2 linked regions of the Oryctolagus cuniculus genome follow. The protein of the gene in region 1 interacts with the protein of each later gene in a biochemical or structural test. Links are inferred from orthologs where the notes say so. Each region holds a gene or a part of one and is shown on either strand. Other genes may lie near its edges.

Region 1 (3,500 bases):
AACTCAGCCTAGCTGTGTGCCCAGCTGTGTGTGTAGCTGGAAAAGCATTTCCGTCTAGACCCACTGCTCTGAAATGGGACACAGATTAGCCAGAACAAACCAAGGAAATACAGAACTCAGATGCCAGACCCTGACTTACATTCCTGAGTATAGATCTCAATGGAGAGACTCAAGGGACTCTCAGGCCAGTGACAGCCAGGTCTTCTAAGAAGTCTTTGCCTCAGGACGGTGCTCAGAGCATAAGGCTGTGTGTCACAGGGCCACACACCCCTACCCTGGGGCAACCATGGGTAAGAGTCCCCAGTGCACCCCTTGCAACTGCTCTGGGACATCAGGGATGAGGATCTGGGACATGGAGCTGGCTACACTGGGTCCTACCCCATCAAGGGAGCCCTTAATACAGATGCCTCTTGGACTCTGGTTCAGTCTTTACTGCTAAGTTGAACCAATTTTAAGTTTTCTGATAAAAACTAAATCCTTATGCTTCCAAAAGGGAAAAACCACAAAAAAATGCTATAATTTCAAAAGGTTCCCTGATGCCTTGAAGCCCACTGGGAGACCCAGGATAGGAACCTTGATGAGGGTGGGTGGAGAGATGTTCAAAACCCGCAGACAGGATGATAAAGGACAGGTGACAAAGGACAGGCTTAGGAGTCGGACTAGTTTTGGATCCCAGCTCCTGCTCCAATGTCACCTGGGCAAGTCACTGGATTGCAGAGGCTTAGTGTCCTCACATGCTAAATGGACATGACCCAAGCTACCACACAGGCTTGTTGGGCTGAGGATCTTTTAAAGAAACCAGTATATGCATCAAGTGTTTTTTGTATAACACAGAGTGGCCAACCTTAATTCCCAGAACAAGTAGTTACACCCATTTAACAGATTCTAAGTGGCAAGACTGAGATTTGAATCCATGCATCAAAACACTGCTCAACCAATGGAAACAGCAGCTTGGCCTGCTGGCCATTAGCTAGGTGGAGGAAACTCAGCCCAGCACCACTCCATAACATTGGCAAGAATTCAGGGATGCCCTGCCCACGATGGGTCTCAGAATAACTTCCTCCTCACCAAGAACAAGGACAAGACATGCAGCCCTCAAGGATTCCCCCATGGCCTGGCCAGAGCCTGAGATCCCCCCTGCCAGGCCCCAGGACAGCACTTACTTTCCACCGGGGTGGGCAGGGTAGGGATCCCAGGCTGAGAGTAGCAGAGGTACATCTGCTGGTCCAGACTGCGCAGTGCATGGAAAGTAGGGTGTGTGTGCTGCTGCACAAACAGGTGCCCCGCGTTGACCTGGTTGACCACGATGACCTCCACAGTGACACCATCAGGCAGCATGAGCTGTAAAGGGGAGGGGCAGCAGGCACTGTGACAACCTTTAAGCCCCGAGGCCCCAGGACAAGTCTCTGAATTGGCACATCCTTGAAAGGTAGAGCAACCCAAGACAACACAGCACCCAGATGGCAGCCACCATGAGCTAGTTAGCCAGAGGCCCACTGTCCTGCAATACCAAGAGTGGCCTTTAGGAGGAGTGTCACCCCAAGGCAGTGCAGGGAGGTTCTGGGCATCCAATAGCCCACTGTGAATGTGGTACTGGGCCTCACACAGGTCTCGATAGAATCTTTCTGCCAGAGGTTTCCCTCCCTCCCACCTCCTTGATGAGTCTCTAAGACTCAGGGAGGTAAACAGAATGAAGCAATGATGAGAACGAGGTGCCGGGGGATAAAAGGCAGCCAGCCCAGGCCCCTCAGGACCAGCAGCTGACCCTAGAAGCCCAGGGCCTGACAGTCTCTAGTCTGCATTCCTAATGACAGGTCCACTTTCAGGGTCTGAGTCCTAGTTGCTCTTTCTGCAGCTTCTTGTCTTCCCTACATTCCAGACATTCCTCAGCTCACTGTCACTTTGGGACTCAGCAGGCACATCCTATATTAAGGCCCTGGAGGAACCCCCACATCGTCTCTAAAAGCCTTATTCCTCAACAGCAGTTTTCCCCATGCCCAGCTACAGACAACATGTGGGGTGCTTGGGCCAACAGAGAGTCTGTTCTACCTTCCAGCCAGCTGTCTACAACAAGAGAAGCTCCCAGCAAAGAGTCCTGGCCTCCATGCTCCTCTGTCAGCTCAAGGCTCTGGAAGTGCATGTCTCGAGATGACCTCCACAGTGAGGGAGCAGGAAGGGAAGGAAGACTACACAAAACCCTTCGTTACTTAATATGAAGGTTTGAGCCAGGCCTCCTGGAAACAAAACTGTGACTTGAGAATAAAGCATGGAGCAAATACTCCCAGAAAGCAAAAAGGGTTCCCTATCCCTTCCCTACAGCACAAGGGTCTTCCTAGAGGAAGACAGAACTGCCATGTCTCAGCCTATACCAAACCCAGGGGAGGTCTTCTTGGAGCAGCAGGCCTAGCCCATTTTAGAGAACTGCAGGAAACAATCTTTGGCCCATAGAACGCTGCACTTCTCAGTGAGAGGGGCTGGACCGGGGCCAGATGAGATGACAGGCCCCAAACATCCCGCAGCACCAGCACGCAGGGGCCCTCAAGATGCAGGCCCCTGTTCCTGCCACGCTCCCAGGTCAACGCTATAGAGCGACCCAGCTTCTGGGCCTGAGGGAGAACTCTGAGGGTACTTCAAAAGGTTCTCAGCAACACAAAGAAAAATGATTATTTCATGCAGAAAAAAGTCTGAAGTCCATATTTAGTTCTTTTTCAATTAGCAATTTCACAAATGTTTGGAGATCCCTTACCTGTGTAGATTTAAACATTTTTGTACCAAACTTAAAATTTTTTCTTCCATTTATCTGAAAGGCAGAGCAATAGGAGTGAGAGATTTTCCATCAGCTGGTTCTCTCTCCAAATTCCCAAAACAGCCAGGGCTGTGCCAGTAGAAAGCCTGGAGCCAAACTATCTGTGACACCCTTGTGGGTGGCAGGGAAACAAATACTTAAGCCATCACCTGCTGCCCCTCAGGGTGCACACTGGCACAAAGCTGACCCCAAAGTGAAGACAGAACTCAAACTCTGATACTCTAGGGGGCCGGTGCTGTGGTGCAGTGGGTTAATCCTCTGCCTGAGGTGCCAACATCCCATATGGGTGCCAGTTCTAGTCCCAGCTGCTCTTCTTCCAATCCAGCTCTCGGCTGTGGCCTGGGAGGGCAGTGGAGGATGGCCCAAGTGCTTGGGCCCCTGCACCCGTTTGGGAGACCAGGAAGAAGCACCTGGCTCCTAGCTTTGGATCAGCACAACTCCAGCTGTTACGGCCATTTGGGGAGTGAACCAATGGAAGGAAGACCTTTCTCTGTCTTTCCCTCTCTGTCTGAACTCTGTCTCTCAAATAAATAAAAATCTTTAAACAAAAACAAAAACACAACTCAGGAGGCAGATCTCCAAAGAAGCTTAATAGCTGCACCACAACACTCATCCCTAAACTCATCTTTTACTTCCATTTTCCCATGAACTATTTGAAGTACCCTCTTATTTATGAAATATAATCTAATTAGCC
Region 2 (3,934 bases), on another chromosome or scaffold:
TATTACTTCTTTCTTCATATGCTCCAGCCTGTTCTTCTTCCATTAATTCCTACTGAGCTCTACTGAACCCTGAATTTCTGAGACATGGATATTCATACTCTTACCCTTTCCTCCCCCTTCTCTCCCACCCCACTTCTTTCAGTTTCTAAATTTGTCCATGGTCCTTAAAACCTGAATAAAGAATCGAATGTAAATGTTGTTTCCTGTGCTTTTCTATAGATGAAATATACTTCCTTTTAGTAAGAGAAGGAAAACTCTTTGCCTGATTATGTTCCCCTTTTTTGCCTAGGCAGCTAGAATGTTTAGAGGTTGATATAGTGCTCAAAATAACTAAAATGCCTTCTCTTCTAAAGATCTATCATCTTTAGCCATTCTCTTTTAGTATTTTGTTATAAGCAGTTCAAATCTTCTTGGAAATAGCTGGATAAAAAACTAATTTGTATAAAGAACCTATGTTTGAAGCTGAAAATAAAACTCTAAACTAAATTATACCAGTAGACACTACACTGGTGTTACGGAGAGTGGAAATCTAAGGAGATGAAGAGTTACAGTGCAGTGGGTGTGTGCAAGGGAAAAGGCGGCTCCAGGATCTTCCACCCTCATGAAGGAAAAACCCCACGTGGCCACAAGGCTGTGCCTCTCCTGTGCAGTCAGTTACCAAATCCTATCGTCCTCTGTTTTGGCTTTCTGCCACTCACTCCACCCAGCCACTTTGGCCTCCTTGATATCCCTTATCCAAAAAGCCTGGGCCAGAGTGTTTCAGATTGTTTTTTTTTTCTGGATTTTGGAATATTTGCATATACATGAACTATCTTAGGGATGGAATCCAAGTCTAAACAGTTTATTTGTTTCATAGACCTCTTATGCATATTGCCTAAAGACAAACTGACACAGTGTTTCTAAGGGTAAATTTACACAATGTGCATTATGACTGGCACCCATTACATGGGGTCAAGCTGCTGCATTTCCCACTTGTGGTGTCATGCTGACACTATGTTTCAGATAGCAGAGCATTCTGGATTTTAAAGACGATCAACCTGTAAGACTTCCTGGAACTCAACATTTCATTCAGGTCTCTGTTCGCAAGTTACTTCTAAAGGAAAGCCTTGGTACTCGCACACTTTGACTGAGTGGCACAATCACACCCACCACCTTCGGCCCCCTAACCTTGCTAGGTTTGCATTCCTAACACTTACCACTAGTTGACACTAAGTATTTATCTACGCTGTGTCTCCCCAGCTAGGATATTACTGCATGAGGCCTGGGACATTCTTCCCCCACTACTGTATCCCCAGTGTCTAGGAGGCCTGAATAAAATGGTTAAAGAAATGAGTTTGCTGGATTTTTTGAGGGAATGACATTCCAAGCATTCACGACAGTTGCAGTGACAACACAGCACAGCCTTTCACAGAGGAATTCCTTCACATTTGCTGAAACGTATTTGCAAAGACAGGGAGACTAGTATCGAACCCAACGTGGGTAGCAAGTCAAACAGCCATCCCTGCATAGGAATTAAGAGCCCTACCATCTTCTAAGACCAGAGAGTTCTTGGCCCAGAAGCTTCCCCCAAACCCTCGTTTCTGAACACAGAGCAGTTACCAAATTATTTCTCAGACATTTCCTGTTCTTTTCCCATGGTCCTGGTCTCATCTCTGCCAGCAATTCCGTTCTACACCCTGGAAAATCCCAGCCAGTGAGCCAGGCGACACACTGCTGAGCTCAGAAGCAAGCAGACCCCTTATCACCTCTGGGACCCCTGCTGTTTGAAGCATCTCCCCCAGTAGATCCTGAACCCACGCGGGCACTGATACAGTGTAACAGTGGACTTCCAGCTTTAAGCTTGTGCACAATATAAAAATTCTGATGTGTCCTCGGGCTTCACACACTGCATTTCTACCTTCAATACGAAATCTACACACAGCAGGAACTGAATTAGACCAAGACAGCGGGGGAAGCGAGGAGTGCTGCACAGCCCTCTTTCGTATCTGGTGTTTTCCCCAGCTGCCCTGGGTCGGAGGGAAAAATGTGTCTTAAGATTCAGGGGACGGGGTGGGGGTGGGGCTGGGGGGGTCCGCAAACGCCCCGAGGCGGGAGGAACCGGCACCTACAGGTCTCCAGCAAACACGACCACTGCGGCTGCTCCAGGCACAGCGGCGGAAGTTGGAGCGACTTTGCAACAGCTGCAAGAGCTGCGCTCTCGGCGCGGGGAGAGCGGGGAGCGGGAGCCAGGCCGCCCCGCCCGCGGCGGCCGGCAGCGCCCGGCCCCGAGCCCACCTCGCTGCGACCCGGACGGGTCCCACCTGTTCGCCCTCCTTCCCCGCGCCGAGGCCCGCCGGGGGCGCAGCGCCGAGCGGCAGGGCGAGGGGCACGCGGAGCCCTATCGGAGCCCATGCTCACCCTTGGTCAGCGTGTCCAGCACCCCCGACTTCTCCAAGTACCTCCGGAACTGCTCGCGCTTCGAGTCGGCGGCCTGAGGAGACACCGCGGGTCAGGGGCCGAAGCCCAGGGGCCGGAGCAGGAAGAAGGCTCTGGGAGTCCGGCAACCCCGCCTCCACCGCGCTACCGCGGGGACCCCCCACACCTGCGCGCGCTCCCACTCCCGCCCGGCGCCGACCCGCAGCTGGCGACCGCCCACACGCCCCCAGCCACGCCGCGCCCCCCTCACTTTGTAATGGGCCATAGTGACAGCGGCAGCGGCGTCGCTGGCGCCGGAGACCGTGGCTGGCGGGCTCCGGCCGGCACTGCTCATGCGCAGCAGGGCGCACGCGACTGCGCACTGGCGAGCCACGGGCCGGGGCGGCCGGGGTGTGGCCTGTTTTCATGGCGACCGGGACGCTCTGGATCCCCAGTCGGGGGCAGAGCCGAGGGAGGCTGCGTGCGCCCGCCCCTCGGGCTGTCCGAGCAGCGCCTCTTCCGGTCGCCGCGGCGATTCGGTTGCAGAGGGAGAAGCGAGGTCTCGGGAGCTGGGGCCTAGCGTCCAGGTGCGGCCGGAGGGGGCGTGGCGCCAGGGGGCGGGGCCCTCGAGCGCGCGGGCGGGAGGGGCGGTCGTCCCGGAAGCGCGCGCACGGTGGGCGCTGGGGGATCCGTGCGTTTCCAGTGTCCGAAGGTGCGTGCTGAGGCGTGAGCGTGCTGGCTGCGGCGCCCACATCTGGGTGCGGGCCCTGGAGGGCGAGCGGCCACGTGCTCCGGCAGCTGCCGGCGCCGCGGAGCGCTCACGGGTGCTTTCGCGTGAATCCTCACAGCCTCCCTGCCGTGTGCGAGCTGCCGGTGAAGTGGCGAGGTTGGGTGACCGGTGACGATGCGGGAGGCCGGTGGGAGACAGCCACAGATGTGTGTAGTATTTTATTGTGGTTACACTTCGTACACCTGAGGTTGCAGTCCACAAAGAAACTACGCTATGGAGTCCCAGGATACACAAAATACAAAATCACCCCCCCCACACACACACACACCGTTGTCCAAAGATAGAGGATAAAGGGGCTAAAAGAAGGCGCTATGGGGATCAAGAGCAATTTCCCAAAGCCATGGGCCCCTCCCAAGTAGGAAACCTGGCTCCAAACCACGTAGCCGCGATGCTGAACGTGTGGTTTTCACCTAGTGGATTTCACACATTCTAAAGAGAGCTATAGAAAATGAAGATAAGAAAAATCCTGACCTGGCAACCCTTGGTCTTTGAATTCAGAAGTGTCCCTGCACAGATGAGTCGCAGTTGCCACAGCCCTAACAGCTGCCCCTGGCCGTTTTGTCCGTGCTCCGCCTGGGCGAGGCTACTTCGCTGATAACGTAGGGCGCACCGGGTCCAGAAGCCAGAGCTGTTCAGATCTGGAGGTCGGTGGGAAGCCGCCTCCCCGCGAGGCTGTTGGTCAAGGACACTGCAGGATTTGGAGGACAAACAGGATTGTTGCAGGGTCTGACCAACCCAGGCTCACAGGAC

Evidence for each region.
Region 2: the proteins of AKAP1 (region 1) and MYCBP form a complex in vitro, tested with the Homo sapiens proteins (2 studies listed by BioGRID). The link is inferred for Oryctolagus cuniculus from reciprocal best matches to the Homo sapiens genes AKAP1 and MYCBP.

What each region holds. Positions count from the first base shown.
Region 1 is NC_091448.1:32,671,268-32,674,767, reverse strand, and holds part of AKAP1 (A-kinase anchor protein 1, mitochondrial), read right to left. Parts: intron 1,342-3,500; coding exon 1,164-1,341; intron 1-1,163.
Region 2 is NC_091438.1:133,966,199-133,970,132, reverse strand, and holds the start of MYCBP (C-Myc-binding protein), read right to left. Parts: upstream 2,801-3,934; 5' UTR 2,750-2,800; coding exon 2,666-2,749; intron 2,471-2,665; coding exon 2,398-2,470; intron 1-2,397. Other genes in the region: GJA9 (gap junction alpha-9 protein), read right to left, coding at 3,817-3,934. UniProt on the Homo sapiens protein: May control the transcriptional activity of MYC. Stimulates the activation of E box-dependent transcription by MYC.